Arabidopsis thaliana: one gene and its partner. The protein of the gene in region 1 interacts with the protein of each later gene in a pairwise test. Each region holds a gene or a part of one and is shown on either strand. Other genes may lie near its edges. The genes, in order: OFP1 and KNAT4.

What was found.
Region 2: the proteins of OFP1 (region 1) and KNAT4 interact in a two-hybrid assay, tested with the Arabidopsis thaliana proteins (one large-scale study listed by BioGRID).

The regions. Positions count from the first base shown.
Region 1 is NC_003076.8:319,778-330,442, reverse strand, and holds OFP1 (ovate family protein 1), read right to left. Parts: upstream 6,016-10,665; 5' UTR 5,892-6,015; coding exon 5,079-5,891; 3' UTR 4,765-5,078; downstream 1-4,764. Other genes in the region: SAUR21 (ARM repeat superfamily protein), read right to left, coding at 7,436-9,460.
Region 2 is NC_003076.8:3,505,263-3,515,927, forward strand, and holds KNAT4 (homeobox protein knotted-1-like 4), read left to right. Parts: upstream 1-4,570; 5' UTR 4,571-5,145; coding exon 5,146-5,718; intron 5,719-6,209; coding exon 6,210-6,330; intron 6,331-6,526; coding exon 6,527-6,711; intron 6,712-7,045; coding exon 7,046-7,177; intron 7,178-7,335; coding exon 7,336-7,472; intron 7,473-7,671; coding exon 7,672-7,705; 3' UTR 7,706-8,479; downstream 8,480-10,665.

The DNA of each region.
Region 1 (10,665 bases):
TAAATGGCACATTTGCTTTATAAAATCTTGCTTAATGCGGAGAGATATGGGCCGGTTGTTCAACTAATGATTGAATAACTAGGCAGCAAAAAATTCCACTAATGATTTTATATATTCTAAAGGTGTTGGTTGAACCAGAAAATAAACAACAAAATCTTTGTATATGTATCTGTTCTTAAAAACACCTACAAAAGACAAATAGTTATCCAATATAATGTACCAAAATGTCATTCCAAACATAAAATTTTCAAAATCACAAGTTTCAAAATTTGCTATGAAAACTAAATACGTAAATTACAATTGTAATGATTTTGGTGTTAATTTTCATGGTTATCCTCGAGATTATTTGGTTATTAGTGAATGAGTAGTTCATGTCTCTTGCATATTACACTACCTCATTTTACTTTCGAATTGAAACTTCTAAACATAGATAATGATATTCTCTTATTTCTAAGCTCTGCAATGTCTCACGTAAAAACGGATTTATTACTTTTGTTACTGGTTGACTACTAATTGAACGAGAATGCTAGCGGACCGAAATGAATCTACGATGGAAGGATTTGGTGTCTTTATATAAAAGTGAGGGTGTTCATAGTAAGAAAAAGTTATTCATACGTGTTTTTTAACTTAATTCAATAATGTGGGTTCCATTATCATATTAAATTTAATGGAATTATAACTCATAATGGAATTCTTTGAAAAGTTATTATTTTTTTGGGTAGAAGGGTAACTTATTCTGTTTTCTGTTAAAAGGAAAAATTAACTTAGTTTCTGTTAAAGAAGAACATTAATTTACTGTATGAAAATGTTTTAAAACTTTTAGTTTACGGTGTTGAAACAGAAACACAAAACAACAAACGACATTGATTTTATACTTTAAATTAAAAAAGTGGTCCAGTTCATGTAGCGTTGGTTGTTCCTCGTGTCGTCTGTCTTCGTCGTCTCGCATTACAAGTTTTGCATGGACGTACCAAAGACACGTGCATTATACGAATTTTTAATATTATTAAACAATACGGTGGCGAAAAATATCCTTAAGTATAACTACTTTTAAGGCTATGTAATATGTATATAACACCTAAAAATACAAAACAGCTAATATTTATGGCTACCAAATACCAACGTTGTTTGCATGCATAACAATATTTCAGTAATTTAGATGCAATTTAAATTTGCATATACAAAATGAAATATATGAGCGTAAAACTGATTTCAGAGTTTAACAACTTTAAGGACCAAATAAATTTTGGGTCAATGGCGAGTTCTCGGACCTTCTAAAAATTTTTAAGTCTTTGAAATTTCCGACTTATAATATAAACTGATTTATATCCACACAAAAGATGTATTGATTTTTGGCACATAATTCTTCGACTAACTTAAAAAGGGGAAAAAAACAATCTATAAGAGTGATGGGCACAGACGGGTTGTGTAAATTGTCTTTATCCAAATAAAAACGAAAAAAATACTAAAATGTGGTTTTATTTCACGCAAGAGTCAAATCCCATAAAGAGATTTGACAATTGACGCAGCGATGATAGGTAAAATAATAAATAACATAATACAAAATGGCCTCTGTTTTGTTGTTTCTGTTACTCTTGCATTAGATGTCATAAACTTGTTAAACTGTTGTGCGATGAATAAAGAGGAGAAAAAAAAGTTCTGATGTGAAATGCACGAAGTCCGTAACACGTGCAAAGTGGTAACTCGATTTTGCCTTCGGCCTCATCCTTTAATTGATATATAAAGAGTAGTATAAGAATAATAATTCATGCAGTGATTATTAGGACCCGAAAAGGACACACATAATGTTTGCTAGGTACGGCTTAATGTTTGCCAAGTCATACAAACGGTAACTGATTTCAATCATCCCAATTAACGATATGAAGACAAAACAATTTAAAAAATGGTATTTCAAACTTGTTTTGTTCAAAAAAGAAAATGTTTTGTAGGTATACTAATAACTCAGCACGCCATGTACCATCATCAATAGCCAAAAAAAACCGCTCGACTAAATTCACTGAGAAACTGTGAACCTCGGTGACTTTCTTGCAAAACGAAAACCCAATGTAATAGTAGTTTTGTTTTTGGTGTGTCGTGTACTTGTTTTATTTGATTCAAAATGAAAATATGGACGGCGGAGAGACAAAGGTCACAAGACGCAGAATCTCCGGTGATAATGTCGGATCGCGCGCAAGGCAAGTTCAGTTAAATGGTCGTTGACCGAGTCTCCACTTGCGGCTCACCGACAATTCTTCGCCATTATTACATCTTCTTCGAAATCTCGATCAACTTCTTAAATTATTATAACACGTATAATTTCTACATAACTAGTCTATATATAACTCTTCTTCCAATTTATTTAATGCAGAGATGGTTCGTACGTAGCTTACATCCAAATAACCACGGTAACGTTGTCCAATTCAGTTTTGGGTTTGATTCTTTCACTTCATATCATAATATGTAATGTACATAATTTTTGTCACTCGGTTAGGTTTATACAGTTCCGTTTTAACAGTGTCATATACTCCTCAATCTTTTTTGCAACATTCGGCTTGGTTGCTATTTACTTTACAATTCTAATTGTTTTATATGTTAAAAATAAAACATAATAAATTCGTTGACATGTACTTCTCTATCTTGTGTAATTATGAAATGGCCCTACTTACAAAAACATTTCACGGAAAAAGAAAGTTGTGCCTTGTGGATTACTTACAACTTTATCTAAAAATGTGCTAGTGATAAGTAAGGAGAGACAAACGAATAAAAACAACTTTTATATATCATTCCAAATAGAAAACGCGTCTATGATACGTCGCAGTTCTAACAAGATACTCTTTCTTAATTTTTTACAAAGGGATCATAATTTATGTCCAAGTGAGAGTTTTCACATCATTTCGTTGTGGAATGGTTTTATTTTCGAAGTATACTATTTACCGGGAAACAAGTAAATTAATTGTATGTTGATATAGGTATAGTCAAGTCCAAATATCAATATTATATTATATTTAGAAATGCTGATTTTGAAAATTCATAGTGGTGGGGGTACCCGTACATCACACGGACACTGGCCACCACCAGTAAAGAAACACATTATTATACATTTATAATTTGTTTCTAATAGGTATCTCAGATCTTTGTAAATTGTTGTCTTTGTACCCGTACATCACAAGTCCATGTTTTAAGCAAGAAACTTAAATTAAAAATCTGGGAGTATAAACGTCTCATACTTATTATTGTGTACTCTTACTACCATGCGATGATATCAAACAATTTAATTTAAAGTATTGTTGTACTTATATTTTTATTTATATAAAAAAGTATTGTTGTAATTTTTCTTAACAATTTTACAAAAAATTCGTTGTAGTCCATGGCCGGCGTGCCCGACAAAGCTTTTGAACCTTTTTTTGTATGAGTGTGTATTATCGTATCGAAAAAAAGAGAGATAGATTTTGGGTACTTTTTACTTCACCTTTTTTGGTCCCTGTTTTGAACTTCAGTCAGTGTAATATTCACTTTTGTGCAACAGTACTTAACTCCGCACACGTATATGATTTATTATTATTATTATTCAATATATAGGTTGATGTTTTGTAATGTATTTCAATAGAAATCTTACCACATAATTCTAAATTTACTCATATCTACTAATTATTAGTCTAGTTTGAATGTGAACATTTATAATTGAATATAATCTTCATGATATACAGTTTTTTCTTTTTTTTCTATGAATGTTAATTTCATTGAAAATGAAATGTAAAGATATTACAACAATACCTAAGGATCTAAGAGTAATCTTGGCAAAAAAAATTATTGAGGAGTTTGATAATACAGTATATGTTTTTATTTATTTATTTTATAACGGTGAGAAATCAACGAGCAAGTTTCGTTTTGTAATCTGCTTCTTTCCTTGGAAACCCATAAAACCTAAAATATGCTTTGTCAGTTTAATGTCGCGTGAGATTCCTTTTCAGTTCCTATTTTTATATTTTAAGAATTCCACAATTTTCTTTTAAGATTGATGTTTAACTCTATTAAACCAAAATCTCATGGAAGATTTACATAAAACAAAATGACATCAATATCATGATAACGATACAACCATAAAACACAGAAGCAAAAGTTTGCCAGTAAGAACCATTCATCACTAATTTTATTTTATTTTACTATAATATCTACATATATTCATATAATTTTTTTTTTTCCGATATGTTACCTTTTCCTATATATTCTCGTCATTTGTCACCCATCACTGATATAAATAAATAAAAAACAGCCAATTGGATTTTTTGTTTTCTTTGGCACTTATATGCCTAAAAGTAAAAATGTTTTGTTTTCTTCTTGCTTGTCGCACTGTTTGTATGTGTTATGCACTGCATGCATATACATATAAATATTATACAAAACAATACGTCGTGGTCAATTTTTTTTTATTTTTTAAAAAGTTAACTACACATATAAATAAATAAATATAGATGTGTGTGAAATTGAGAAATGCACACGTACACACATATCCAAAGTTAGGTCTGAAAATAGGCGCAGATGCTGTTTTAATGAGTTGTCGGCATCGTAGGTCTAATATAATGGATACACTAAATATAAAACGTTCACTATTAGTCTTAGTCTATAACGTGATGCAGAGTAATTGTTGTCAACATGAACACTTGCTAACTCATGATCACAATGAATGAGTTTCCAATCATTTTTAAATCTCTTTTAAAAAATTTAGACTTGAAGAGTGAGCTGTATATATAGTATGATTGATGACGCAAAAGTAGGTTTATAGTCGTCCACATTCAAAATTTGATTTAAAGTAACACTTGCTTGTCCGTGCAAAGTAAGATTCGTAGAAGAGTACCAATCCGGATAGAAAATTCCTGTACTTGATATCATCAACGATGGCCGTTATGCAAGTACAAGACTGTAGGCTCTCTCTAGACCATTATTACATATAAATATAGTTAGTACAAGAATCATCATCATCAACATCATATATATTTACATTTTTATTCAGTAGAGCGATTAATTATTAAGGAGTAATTAATACTATATAAGAAGATGTTTTTTTCTTAATAATAAAATTATTTGGAATGGGGTGGTGGAAGATTAAGATCAAGCCAGATTTGCTTGAAGACATTGATGATAATAGCGTGATATTCGTCTGAATTGAGACAGAGATAGCAAGCCAAAAGCTCCTCTAGATCCTTTGTCGCTCTTATCTTGTTCTCAGCGATCATCTCCTCCATCGACTCCTTAAAGTCTCTCTTCGGATCCACCGACGCCTTCACCACCGCCCTGCTCCGCCGAGCCGACGACCCGCTTCTTCTTGCGCTGCTGCTCACCGAGATCCGCGGCGACCGCATTCTAAGTCTCACCCCCGCCGGAGAATTCACCGCCGTTTTCCGTGCGGTGGCGGCCGTTTTGGTAATGATGGGCCGGAGTTCGAGTTCCGGCGGCGGCGTAAAGGTTGCGGTTTTGGATAACTTGGAGCTGCAAGGGCTGTGCCAGGAGCCCGTTAATGACTCGTCGGGGAGGAGAACTTGATCCGAGCGAAAGTCCGGTGAGAAAGAACCTGTTTCTGTGGTAGTGCTGTCGCCGGAAGTCGTGGAAGACTTAGAGTCGACGGTGGCTCGGTGACGAAGACGGTTCCCGGAGGACTTCCTGGGAGGATGGGAGGGTGGCGCTTTGGAAGAGTGAGAAGGGCGCCTAGGAGGCCTAGGACTGAGTGGCGTTGTGGACGTAGGAGTAGGGACTGCGTGGTGTTTCTTCTTGGAGGTGGTGCTATTTGGTTGGCTCTGAAGATTCTTCTTCTTGGATTTGGACATGTCTCTAAGTTTGTAAAACCAAGCGTTAGGGATTAACTCCGATAGCTTAAACCGATAGTTATTACCCATTATCTCTCTGACTCTCTCTGTTGATTATTTTGTGTTTGTTGGGGACTTCTTTGGTACATGAACAAAAGTGAGAGTGTGAAGAGTGGAGAATTTATAAAGGAAAGAGAGGTTTATGTGAGGGGGCCCACATACGTGGAAAATATAAAGGTTATTATAAGGTGAGTGAGATGCTCTCTCCATTTTCATTGATTTTGTGTTAGATTATGTTGGCCATTTCATTTTCCCCTAAATTAAATTACATTGACATTTGACACTGACACTTTTATTATATGTTTTAGTAATAGTAATACACAAGTAGTGTTCGTACCAAAGAAATAAATAATAGAGTAATTACTAGTTTGTATATGTACTAATTACTAGTTTAATCGTGGTCATTGTAATCCTTTTAAAATGTGCACCACGATGATATTAAAAAGTTGTATCATCGATAGTGTAAAAAAAGAAAGTGGTCACTCACTTTATTGTGTTACAGTTTCCGTAAGTAGGTGTTTGGGTTTGACAACAAATAAAGAAGAGAGAAACCTGCTTTTTTCAAACATTATCGCACGCTTCGAGATCTGGGATCTCTTGCAAAACAAACCAAAATTTTAAAATGGGCCTATATGTTTTCGGCCCAATAGTTTCACTTAACGATAGCACCTCTTATATTTTCCTCTTCATCAATTTTAAACTCCAACTAAAGAATCTGTCAAATTGAAACCAAAAATAATAATATTACAGAGACACAAATTTGCCAACTTATTCATGGTCATTTTATACACGTTTAAACAAACAAACAAAAAATAACACGTTACATCTCTATGTATTTGTTCTCTGCCATGGTTAACTGATGGTTGTAAAAAGTTACAGAACAGCTTTTCCTTAAACATCAACTACTCTGCTTCGATGAAAAACTCCAACCTCACTCTTTGGTTTGAACATATTTCTTGTCTCTCACTCCGCTTCATAAATTCTCAACACCGTCACTCTTTTCCTCAAATGTGTTTTCTGGTTTTGTAATAGTTCTGTAATAAAATTAACCGTTTAAAAAAGAGGGAAAGGAAGAAGAAGATATTTTATTTAATGCTTCGAAAGATCCAAAACGTAAAAAAACAACAAACAAAAAGGTTTGCTTCTCTAGGAAGAAAGATTGTTGCTATTTGCAATCAGTTCCATTTCCAATCATCATCACTCCTTTAGGAACATGCTTGTGTGTATATCTCTTGTGGATTTGCTCTGTCTTTTGTGTTGAAATTTTGTGCCAATTCTTTTGTCTCTTTATTCACACACATATGATAACTCTAATATGCTTTCAAGATTTTTATTAGTTCCTGTCAAAACACTAGTTATGAGTTATGAGAGATTAGTAAACAACATCATAACACTGTGTAAAGTTCATCCAGTAAAAGGGAAAAAATCTCTCGTTCTTTTCTCGAATTTACATTTACAATTGCAGCTTTTAATACTTTGTAAAAGAATCAATTTCTTTTCAAATCATCAGGAAAGAAAAAAAAAACATTTAAACTTTACACAAGAAGAAGAGGGGAAAACAAAAAAATGAAAAATCATAAAACTGGACTAAAAATCCTACTTGGCGTTGGCACTACAATGCTCTGCGTTTCCGCCGCCGTGTTATGGGTATCTCCGGCGGCCCACCGTCTTAGATATCTCATCAATGACGCCGCTTTCCTCCCTCCCCTGGCCGTTCCAGCTCCTATCATCTCCCATATAACCCTCTCTATCCCTGGAATAGCCGCCATCTCCGCCACTAGCTCCGACCCTCCTTTCCGACACATCGTGACCAGCGTTGCCGCCGCACTCTCCCTTGTGGTATCCGCTCCTTCTCTCATCACCTCCCCCAAAAGTCGAATCAAACTGAAAGCGGCAGAAACCGCCATGAGTCCTCCCCTCCTGACCACCGCCTCCACGACAGCCACCGCTTCCTCCGGTAGCTCCTGGAATGCATCTCCTGCGGCTCCCATTACCCCAGCCTCAACGAACCTCCCCACGTTCTCTCTCTCAGCCACCAGGTTTAGGATCGCCACGAGCGCGTCTCTCTTAGAGCTGGTGGGGCCCTGCTTAGCCAAGTCAACCAATCCGCTTACGACACGTGCTTTTCTCCCGAGTCTTCTTCTGTATGCCGAGACGCCCGCCAAACTGAACAATGTCGCGGCTGCGTTAGCCTTAGCCTCCCACGTGGCACCCGAACGAAGAACCTCGATGACGCCGTTTAAAGCTCCGTCAGTTTCCATGATCCTCGTTTTGTTCTGTTCCAGGATGGATAGGTTTAGGATCGTCGTAACGGCGTTTATCTGAAGGCTCGGGCACTCTGTGGCTAGATAACGAACCAGCTTGGGTATGGCTCCAGCCTCGGCTATGCAGGCTCGGGCCACAGTATCTGACTTTGCGAGCGCCCGGAGCTCGAACACGACACCGTTAGAATCTGCCACGGAGAGCTTCTCGATGAGAAACGAAACCATCATCTTCGTAAACTCCACCGCCTCCTTGCACGGCGCAGGTTCTCCGCCGCCGTCACCGTATAATTCGAACGGTATCTTCTGATCGCGGCACCACAAAACGATGAGGTTCTTCAAGGCACGGTTAGGTACGAGGCTGGTGTGTTTGAGGACTTGACCTGTTTTCGGACACGTGTTATGCCCCGATTGGATCCAAAGATCGATGGACTCTCTATCGTATGTTTGACCGGTGGCAACCACCACCGGATCCCGCATCAGCTCGAGGGTGATCGGACACCGGAAATCCGCGGGGATGTTAGCGTCAGATAAGGATTGGTGGCGGCGGAAATCTGGAGCCGGCGTGGAGGGACCGTATAAGACGCACTTAGAGTAACGGACGAGTCCGATAAGAGAGGCGGCTGCGGATTTGGATCTGTCGTCGATCTGATCCTGAATCTCGTCTTCCAATCTCTGAATTTCGTCGGTCAAACTAGCAGAATCGGATAAACCAAGGTCGTTGAAAATCTTGATGAGAGTAGAGTGATCCGGTGAGATCTGGTGCTTGATCCCGGCGATTGTATCGGTGACTTTACGACGGAGAGCAACGTCGCGGGCGTCGACGAACTGAACAGAATCGGAGCATTGTTTTGTAAGGAGAGAGATGAGATCTTGGGCGTCGTCGCTGAGGTCAAAGTCATGGAGCGGTAAAATATCAAGAACGGTGGATAAATCGGTGACAAGCTCGTGAAAGTTGAAGGCAACGATGTCGATCTGCAAGAGTAGCCAGAGTTTGCTAACACGAGAACAGTCATCGATCAAAGACTTGATACGTTGCATAACGATTTGCATTTCTTCGAAGCAGAGATGAGCGGATTGAGAGTAGACGACAAGTTGGGAACGAGGGAGAAGAAGCTCATCGAAGACGGAAGCTAATATCTTCACTTTGCGAATGAGGGAGAGAGAATTGCGTCGGAGAATGAATGGGAGAGGCTGCATAGAAGAAATCTCATGAGACGCCAGAAACAGAGACCGAGTCAGTTTGGTATCTGAAGAAAGCTTCGGAGATTCGAATGACCCGACGACCAAAGGGCGACGTTTTCTCGCCGGAGAAGGAGAATCAAGAGTAACAGCCATTGATGAGGAAGAAAGACTTTTGTTTAGGAATGGAAAAGAGAAAAGGAAGAAGAAAGAAAGAAAGAGAGCTCTAAGCTCTTGTTGGTTGTAGTTGTTGGTTTGTTACACGGAGAGAGGAGCTGGCGTTTCAAATTTTCCTTTGGTTAAAGTTATTTAATTGGAAGAAAAAGTCGTAACGGAAGAAGAGACGACGGTGGACGGAGCCGTCAGAAGAAGTCAGTCAGTCGCAGAGAGGACAAAGCCGCCTTACAGAGGAGCACGAGAGGCGAGAGGTCAAACATTCCCTTCTCTTTTGACTTTTTCTCTTATGGTAATGTTTTTTTGGCCGAAATTAGACCAAACCCAATTTTTATTTCACAACTAACCCATAGGCCATAACTTAGCTTAGTTTTAATCTAAAACCAGTTTTATCTAATGACTGCTTTGGATTTTCTTCCATAACTACAGTTTTTTAGAATAACACACGCCTACACGCCTCGTGAGTTGTCGAGCAACACTGATTACAATATATAAGAAATGTAAGAATGAAGATAAGGTCTTCGTTTTGGTGACATAAGAATGCAACAGTTGGTACAAGTTTGTTAGAGAGAATTGATCTCGTCTTCTCTTTTTCAATATATTTAAATTATATATACTCACATAACTAATCATTCTAATTTTTTCATAATTTATAATTGAATCTGCTCTGCTGGCTCTCTCCACTTTCCGGTGAATTATTGAATACTAGTAGTATTTCTCAAATTATATAACAAAATGTTTCCATTACCAAAGTTACCTTTCCTTTTATTTTAAACGAGTAGTTTCCCTTTAAAGCAAATTATGAGATGTTTGCATTTTTAAAATTTTACACAAAAAAATTATTGTTTAAATTTTTTTTTTTCTTGTTGTTGTTGTCAACCAAAGAAAAGATCCACATAACAAATCAAGAATCATCACGCACTTCTCAGTGTCAATTTAATATAATGGCTATTGGGTATCTATTTAAATAGTTGAAAATTGAGAAACAATAGAATGTAGCTTATATGGATTGCAATGGCACCACTCATACGCAATGCCTTGATGTACAGACTTAAAAAATTGGATTAATTATTGTAATAATGTCTACAAAGTTCCAATATCTATATTGCTTTTTTATATCGATCAACTCACATCTTATACGTTTTTATTAAAACTATTGGACATGGGAACATTGAATTTCTTATTCT
Region 2 (10,665 bases), 3.2 Mb from region 1:
ATTAATGAAACCAAAAAGATAAAGAAAAAGAGATAAGTAAATATGCTACTTCAGATTGGCCTAAGATTCCCAAATAGATGGCAAATGCATAACTAAAAGTAAGCAAACAATGCGGAGAGATATGGACAACACAGAGAAGCATTGAAGAAGAAAGCAGAAGAGTGTAGAAGTGGTCCATTACAGAATTTAATTTCATTGAAAATTCTTCTTCTTTTTCTTTTCTTTTGATGTTTTGTGGTCCAATTTTGGAAGTGGACAAAGCCTAACTTTGAGTGTTAATAAGAGAAGCGGACACTTACGCCACTCTTATATTAGCAAGACATATGACATGTTTTATGTTACTCTGTACTATTGAGGCAATACTATTGTTGATTTAGTGTATTAATATTATTTTTTGTGTCGTCATCCAACTTTAGACCTAATAATCCATGTTATTAACACAAGTAAAAAGTGATTATATTACTATATATCCTAGTTCATCTGTGTTTATCTTTTATTCTTCTAAATATATACTCTAAGAACCTCAACAATTCAACGTTTCATTGTCAATAATCTACAAAAATGTGAATATGGCCACATTCTCACGTCTCCATCTCACTAATGTACAATTCAAAAGTATATAATAAGATAAAAAGCTTATAATACTACACTTATTTCGCTTATACATCTCATCAAAAGTTATATAAGAGAAAGGTTGGATGGGGACACATTTACAACATTATTTGATCAAGAATGAACTCTTGTTTCTGACAAAATATATATATTGCATGACTCACTGATTATGTATGACATATTTTTTTCTTTAATCTGTTATCCATCAATATTAAAATATTATATATGTATAACTAGTGTTAATACACAAATTATCCTAAATTTACAAAACTTTTTCAAAAAAATTACCCTAATTAAAATGAGAAGAAACTCATGAAACTTCAAAATAACATGGACATGGAACTCATTAAACTTTTACATGCTCACAACAATACATACTCAACATCACACTATATTAACGAGTAAGAGACACACATCAGTACGTCACTAAAAACATAAGCATCATAGCTGATTTAATTTATCTTTTATTTGTCCAAAGATATCCTTTAAAATATATATAAAATTAACGTTGTAAGAAACATGTAAAATAAAGTATTTTTATAGAAAGAAAGGAGACTTTTCACCAGTCATAACTCTATATTCTTTTGGCACAATAAGTAATGGTCACAACACAACAATGTCTTCACCAAAACCAAAGAACTAATTGAGTAAGAAGAAGAACCAAAGACTTGTTCAGCAATGTGGATAACCCCAATCTCTCTTTCTCAAGAGAGGCCAAATCACTCTTCTTTTCTCCGTTTTGTCTACTTTGAAACGTTTCTATCTTCTTTTTGTAGGATCGTTTGAACATTTCCCTTACTTTCTCTATTATTTGATATGATCATTTAGATTTCTTTTATATCATGGAGGGGACTACGATTTGTTTTCTCTATCTTTTTGGAGCAGAAGATCAGATTCTAATAAAATTTGATAAATGAGGTTTTTGTGTCTTGTACCGATATGACTTACACAATATCTTTAATTAACCAGTTTTATTGTTAATAACATGCATTATACAACTTTGAATATGGATTTTGAGACATTAACGATATGAGTGCATGCCATTATATGGTCAATCTTGAACCAATTAAAATTTGTTTTATATGTATATCTATTTTCACATAACATATTGTTTTACCAAAAAAAAATTTATTATCTGCTTTTGAAAGAAAACATAACCCAGTTATCTCTCTCAATAAATTTCATCCAACAACATTCCCCCCTCTCAATGCGTATATTTATTAAAAACTGGATAGTACATGATCGCGGTGAACATGAAAAACTCTATAGTATACATTAATATAATGGAACTGTTAGGGCGTATTAGACTTACTAAAAAATTATAAGATATAAGAAAAAGAAAAATCCTATGTAAGAAAATTCTCTCAAACAAAGGAACTGTTAGGGCGTATTAGACTTACTCTAATACGCTATAATGTGAATTACGAACAATAATCAAAGCAATAAGAGAAAGTAATTCACTATAGGAACAACTTTGGCATCGTTACAAAACAAAGTGAAAGATGAAGAGAAAACATCCTTTACGTTCCATCATTTTCATCCACAAACCTGACAAAAAGCTTCCTATGTTCTTTCTCTACTCTATCTTTATAATAAAATAAAGTATTTATGTTCTTTTAACTCAATGTTTTGATGTATATGTTGTCTATATTGTTAGGTTCCTTGTAATTTTCATCTATCACAAGCCAAGTAGTGTACAACAAAACAAATTAACAAAAGAAAGCATCATCATTATGAGCATCATCCTCGTATTAGATTCACTGTTTCTACAAACATCTTTTAGGAAAGAAAAAAAAAATTCCAACAAAACTGAATATCTTTATTTTGCTGAGATGACATTGTTTTGTCTTGTGTGTTAAGTTCTTGTGTTCAATATTGATAAATATAATCAAATGGCGATAGTTGACAAGTCACCAGGCCAGCGATCAAATACAATCTCTACGATCATCACATACTTATTCAAGGCTAGCTGCGTCTATATATTATAAAATTTTCATATAAGTTCCATATTAGTTTTTGTTTGTTTGATTGGCAAATGCACGGTTTTAATAATCTTGTTAGTCAATAAAGTTTAAAAATCAATCGCAAACCACTATAGATTAGTGTTTCCATAAAGAAGATTCATTGGCTTATGTATCAATGACTATTTAAAAAAAAAAAAAAATTGTAAACTAGACAAGATTTTTGCTAACAACCCCAATTATCATTAACTAATTAATTAATGATTTTGTTTCTGTCCCTAATATAGACAGCACAAGTTGTTGATTAAGATTCTTTGTACCACCCTACTCTTAGCTTTGGTCCTAGACAATCAATATAATTAAGTAGGTCCAAATCCAAGGCTTGTTTATGTGAATGTGAAATAAGAAATAATCGGTGATTTTTATTCAAAAAAGAAAAAATAATCGGTGGTGGTCGTTCAATCAGTAATCTCGAGGTCCGAAAGCACAATGCATATCACGAGTTCAAGATTTACTGGTGATTACAATTAACTTGGCACATTGTAATTACAAGATTTTTATATATATATTTCATGTTTCACTAACCATAAGGTAAGGAAATAAAAATAAAAATGAAGGAGTGATTAGTTGGAGCCGTAGGCCGTAGGGAACTTCGTCGTTTCTCGTAGAAAAGAGTGTAGGGACGACAAGAGTTGTTGTGAAATGGACGACTGTGATCGTTAATGTGACTCTCTTTGTCCAATCATGTGTTAGCTGATTCCACACGAAACATAGACCTTATCACACTGGAAGTTTACTTGACACATGTCTCTACTCTTTTATTCATCATCACTCAGACCTTACTGTTTGGATATTTTGGTGGATTCAACTTTGTCGTTTAGTCTCATTCATCGGCTCTCTCGCGTGTATCGCACGCAAATAGAACACTCAATGGCCAAATCTTGGAAGCAGTCAATGGCCACCAACCTTCAATAAATTACCACTAATCATTGGATAGTTCTAAGAAATGTCTACTTTCATATATTAATGCCAATTTTACCGGTTAAATTTTGACTTGACAACAAAAGATTTAACTTTTCTTATGAATACAAAATCAAAGAATAAATTTAAACTGAACAATTGGTATACGAGATAGAGAAACCAACTTCGATCAAAGTATGAGTAACGAAGCTTGATCAAAGTATGAGTAGGTTAAAGTTAAATTACTTTTAACAAGGTAGAGACAGGAGTGGTCGTGGATATAGGTTAGACTAGTCTAAGTGATGGAGCTTAATTAGACGGTTACGAATTGTTTTGCATCACATTCCTAATAAGTACATTAGATGGGTTTGATACAAATCGATGGATATTTATATTGTATTGCTTCCAATTCTCATATTAAAAACATTTGGAACCACATGCAAAAATTTATATGCTTGTAACATAAGTATATAATCTATTTATTTGTTTATTTTGTCAATGCTTAGTGATCAAATTAACAAAGTATAAGTATATGTATGTTTCTATAATATCTGAAATATTTATTCCTAGATAATATGTGTATGCCAAACATTTGATATCGTGTATCTGTAATCATGTTTTTTTAGCAGAAGTCATGAGTTCATACCAAAATTAATATGCAAATTTTATGTTTTTTCTGATGATGGGATTAAATTTGTCGTACTTTTTTGATAAGACAGCAACTATAAGCTTAAGTCAAATTTCTGAAATTGGTCCCCCACACCTCTAAATTTTTGAATCGTTTGTATTTTTTTTGTTACTAAATACAAAATAATGTAAAATTTAAATTTGTACGGCTGGATTCTCTTATCCGATCTATCGCATGCCAATTTCTTCAGGGACCACAATTAGAGGAAATCGTTATCACGACACGTGTCCTCCGATATTTTTGGCGCCGAGTAGTGACGTCATTATTAATGGTCCCCTCCTTCCTTGCTTTTTTCCCATTCGTCTACTCTCCTTTTTCTTTAACAAATTATCTTTTTTTTCCTCCGATATTCTTCAAAATTTGTTTTAAAATCCTTTGCAGATTTGTGTAATTTATTTACTTTTGCTTGGTACCAAAAACAAATAGAGCAAAAATGAGCAATTCTTTTTGATAAGCAGAAAAAAATGTTAGGAACGAATGAAGAAAAAGTGATGCAGCTATTTCCTTTTACTGTCACTTCGTAATTCGTATCATTCTTTTGCCGTCAACTTCTACCATCTCTTTTTTTTGTAAAACGATAAAACTTTTTGTTGTCGCTGTAAATGTTAGTAATCTGACCTAATCCCAATTTATTATGGATCACCAAAAAGCTGGTACTCTACAATTTAATAATAAAAGAAGAAGAATAAATATAGGAATAAATCGTCTTTTTTGGTGTAAGCTACATATAAAATTCAAACCGTCAAACACACATACACATCGAAACCCTTATATTTCATTTTCTTTCTGTTTTAGAGAAGAAAGTTTCTATAATTGATTGATAAATCTGAACATCAAAGCTAAGAATTTCTCTTCTTTTTTTCTTCTTAATTCATCTTTCCCTCTCCGAAACAGAAATTCAAAAACAAATTCAACACGAAAACGATGGCGTTTCATAACAATCACTTTAATCATTTCACCGACCAACAACAACATCAGCCTCCTCCTCCGCCGCAACAGCAGCAGCAACAACATTTTCAAGAATCAGCACCCCCTAATTGGCTCCTCCGCTCCGACAACAACTTCCTCAATCTCCACACAGCTGCCTCTGCCGCCGCTACAAGCTCCGATTCTCCTTCTTCCGCCGCCGCTAACCAGTGGCTCTCACGATCCTCATCCTTCCTCCAACGAGGCAACACCGCAAACAACAACAACAACGAAACATCCGGTGACGTCATCGAAGACGTTCCCGGCGGAGAGGAGTCAATGATCGGAGAGAAGAAGGAGGCGGAGAGGTGGCAGAATGCGAGACACAAGGCGGAGATACTGTCTCATCCACTATACGAGCAACTTTTGTCGGCACACGTGGCGTGCCTGAGGATCGCAACGCCGGTGGATCAGCTTCCGAGGATAGACGCACAGCTTGCTCAGTCTCAAAACGTCGTGGCTAAGTACTCAACTTTAGAAGCCGCTCAAGGACTCCTCGCCGGCGATGACAAGGAGCTTGACCACTTCATGGTAACTTAACTTCTCTTTCCTTCTTACCACTCTCAATTCCCATTATTTTATTCCTTTTCTTTTCTTTTGGAAAATAAAATCACTAAAAATTACTTTCATCTTTTATATTTAAAACGGTTTGACAAATTTGAATATTTTGTTGTTAATTATCTCCAAATTTATAAAAGTAAATTAGAGAAGAAAATCAAAAATTCTTTCTAGACTTGTACTTTGCACCGACAGACATGATCAGTGGGTTGGATAAATCGTCAGTTAAAAATTTGGATATTAGTTTTGCACAGTAGTAATTTGACAGCATAAGGTTTATTTTGAGATAGATTTTTGCTGAGTGTAAGTGATTGAGCAATTTCATTGATTGCAGTTACGGATACAGTGATCTGACAAAAACTAGTTTGTCACTTTCTGTATCTATATCCCATATTTTACTGTTCATGGACGTATTTGTATGATTGTATCTGTTGTCTGAAAGATATTTCCATGTTTTTGTGCAGACGCATTATGTACTATTGCTTTGCTCTTTCAAAGAACAACTGCAACAGCATGTTCGTGTTCATGCAATGGAAGCTGTTATGGCCTGTTGGGAGATTGAACAGTCGCTTCAAAGTTTTACAGGTTAGTTTTTAAGACTTCTACTAAATTATCAACTTTAATTTGTCATTTAGCTGTTATGGTAACTTTTGTATTTCACTATAGTATTGTAAAAGACACAAGGTTCTTTTATTTTATTTCTCATTTCAATGCTGTTTTTTATATTTAGTACCTACTTCTTGAGGTTTTAATTTAACACTTGTTTTGTTGAATGAGACAGGGGTATCTCCTGGTGAAGGCACAGGAGCAACAATGTCTGAGGATGAAGATGAGCAAGTAGAGAGTGATGCTCATTTGTTTGATGGAAGCTTAGATGGGTTAGGGTTTGGTCCTCTAGTTCCCACTGAGAGCGAGAGATCTTTGATGGAACGAGTCAGACAAGAACTCAAACATGAACTCAAGCAGGTAACTAGTGAAATATACTATATCCATCATTTACTACTACACATATATAAGATCAATGATAACAAATCCTTCACACCTTATTATATATCGTTGTAGCTAAAGTAAATATGCTTCTATTTAGTCCAATCAACCAAGAACTTGTCAAAACTTTATTTTTGATCTACAAAAAGACTCAAATGAATTTATGATTTTTAATTGTCTGAAGCTTGTTTGATGAGTTGTCAGTTTGCAACATCTACATAGTACTTACACGCACTTATATGCATGAAAATTGTGGTACACACTATATATAGTTAGCTTAACTAATGATATTGACCCATGTTTTTGTGAAAAGGGTTACAAGGAGAAAATTGTGGACATAAGAGAGGAGATACTGAGGAAGAGAAGAGCTGGAAAATTACCAGGAGACACCACCTCTGTTCTCAAATCATGGTGGCAATCTCATTCTAAGTGGCCTTACCCTACTGTGAGTTCCCTCTTTCTACTTCTTCAGTCACTCGCATGAACACGCCTCGTGGGTCTTTACCTAGTTCTGTCCCGAAAATCTTTGACTACATCATTTTTGCAACTTCATATGCTTTCTCAATCTCCTAAGTTTTAAATGAATCATGTAAATTTTGACAGGAGGAAGATAAGGCGAGGTTGGTGCAGGAGACGGGTTTGCAGCTCAAACAGATAAACAATTGGTTCATCAATCAAAGAAAGAGGAATTGGCATAGCAATCCATCTTCTTCTACCGTCTCAAAGAATAAACGCCGAAGGTACTTTGCACCAACATAACTTTATAGGAAGAGTATCCAAGAAAAGACAAAATATGATCACACGATAAGATACAATCTCTGAAATATATATATGTTAGGTGTGACAAAGTTTAGCTTGTTTATGTATGGTTAGATTAATGTTTAGTTACATTTTCAAGATATATGGAGTCATTAAATTTGGAGGGTTTTCTTTATGAAGCAATGCAGGTGAAAACAGCGGAAGAGACCGTTGAGATCAAGCTTGCATGTAGAGATCCAAAAGCTTTATAGAAAGGTGGAGGCATGAAGACAAAGAATTCTTACACAACAAACGTAGGACGTAATTTTGTGCCAGTACATGGTATGGCTTTCATATTTGGTAATGATTAGGGCCACACAAAATTAAACCCCAAAGCATGATTTGTAATATGAGGTTTTAGATGGACTTTATGATAGGATCGTCAGTCTTCACTGCCATCTCCATTCTCCACCATCAATCCATCATTATATCTTGTGAATAACATGGAAATTTCTCGTTATGCATTTAATTTGTGCAATCATTGGCCGTAATCTACACAAATATACATATTAATTTAGCTTGAATATATTATCTCAATTAATGGTTTCAATTTTTTTGTTTTGTTTTGTGAGTGGAACCACTTTTTATGTGGAATTGTTAACCCTAATGCCAAAATCTAAACTCTGCGAAGGTCGCCAGCAAACGAAAGAAAGAGATTATCTCCGCCGTTGTCAAAATTATTAAAAGGGATTATAAAGTTTTTCAATTTGGGCCCCTTTCCTGCGTTTTCTTTATTGTCCATTATGGGCCTCATTGTCTCTAGACTCTCTACCTTACAGGGTTTGCTCGCCGACGTTTCATACATAGTCCTCTTGTTTCTAAGGATGCCGATTAACACTTTTCATTTTTATCAACAAACTGGCTTGCAAGGGTTTTGAACCTGAGTGATGACCTACCATTTCTATCCATACTATAATCAGATTTTTTTTTGTTCTTTTTTATAATCAAGTTGGTGAAATAATTAACAACAATACTAGCACAAATCATTAACATAATGGTTCATACCTCATAGCCATATAAGATCATGAAAAAGTTATAGTTTTAGAAGTTTGTTTTTATTTTTAGTTAAAATTTAGTTTTTCCAATTAAGACCGAGTTATTAGTTAACAATGTAAAACTTAAGTAAATGCGATTTCTTTGGATTGGTTTGATTCGACTACAGTAAAACATAGGTCTTTGTTTTGTTTTAACCATAATAAAATCAATTGGATTATAAATAACTTTAGTTCTAATTCCGTTTACACATTTAGGTTTGCTTCAATTATAATCCTTCATGGAGATAGATAGCTAGATTAGTGGTGGTAATAATGTATGAGTTGAGAGAGTCTCTTTTTAGGTAGAATAAGATTGCACATGACGTGGCATTGTGAACGTTGTGGGGTTTTGTGATTGGTCTTGTCTTCTACTTACAAGACAGTCATATGAGAGGAGCATTTTAGAGCTGGCCCAATCATAAAAGACAGCTAGCTCTCTGTGACTCTGTGTTATCCGTTATGTTGCAGCAGCGACGAAAACAATTTGCTTCTTCTTCTTCTCTTTTGTCCTTATAGATAATACTTTTCTTTTCAAAATCAATTCACAATTGCTGAAGATATCAAAGATTCGTTATCTGAAAGTGACGCAGAAAAAGTACACAAAATAAAAGTGTTAGTGGGTAACTGGAGGATAGATAGAGAATATAAACAGAGAGGACGACAAAGAAGTTCAACATTCTCTCTAGTTTATCGCGCGCTTCTTTCTGTTACACGTTAGCCAATCTATGAGGAACATTTTCTGATTTTTTTATATGTAAGTATATTAGGATAATCATTGATACAAATATTCGATTCATCTGGTGTTTCTCTAAAAGATTAGGATATTTATGGGAGAAGAAGCTCTTCCTCGAACACCAATACGAGGAAATAACGTTCAATGAAGTTTGACATTACATCTTAATATTATATTTTAAGATATTTTTTAATATGCGATGAAGGAATTCATCTATGTAGTACGGTAACAATTGCAAGTTGAGGACGTCACGATTTCATTAGTTTTTATGGCATATCTATATTCGTCGTTGGGGACACGATGCAAGTATATTATTTTTTTTTGATAAAGCAAACTTTACAGTTGACAAAAAAAAATTACACCTTTACAATTTACAAAATATATGTTTAAAACATATCATAATACATTTGTTAATTAGAAACACTATGGATTTATATAGAAAATGTACTGGACTAATGGTGGATACAAATATCTAAAATGGAAACAATCAATGACGATGATTGATATTGAATGTTGTGACTCGATAGGAGATCAAGTCTAGAGATAGTTGTAAGGGAAAAAGTAGAAAAGAGTATAATACACTAAAAATGTATAGTAGACAAAACGAGCAAGATTTGAGGCATCAGAAGAGAAAGAGACATGTCGACCGGTGGCAAGTGGTAGGTATCACTATGTAACAACACAAACGTCAAAACATGTGAGAAAGCGTTTTTGCTTCGCTTTTCTTTTTCAATTTTCCCCACTTCACTTCACTTCACACAGTCACACTCTTATCCTCAGTATCTCCACTTCTTTTTTCAATGAAATGTTGTGGATAAATAATACGATAATTGGCATCCACTATCTTAAACCAGCTTTGTATGACTATGCCCGTGACAGCTTACCAGAATCTCTGTGTTTTGATTAATACTATTTCCAGACACTAAAGGTTCTTTTTTCCTAACCTAATTCATAATTAGTCGAAACGTAAAGATTGATTCTTCTAATTATTAATATTCATATATAATTCCAGTAGCTGAATCAGGTTCCTGTGTTCTATCTAAAAGTATACTATACAAATAAAAACCTTTTTCTTCTCGACATGAGTTTAATACTATATGAATATGACTACACAAATATTTTTATATTTTTTGAAAAAGATAAATATGTTGATGTTGTATACCCAAAAAATTGTGTTTTAGCTCCAAAAAAATACCAATGTCTTGCTTCAACGGTCTCAATGATCACGATCCATAAATCATAAATTTTATAAAGTTCAAACGTTTCTAGCTACAAGCTAGTTTCATATGATGCCGACACATTAATTCATAGCTTTCGTCTCTTGTCCTGTAATTAGTCTTAAATGCTTTATTTCACCCATATATAGCT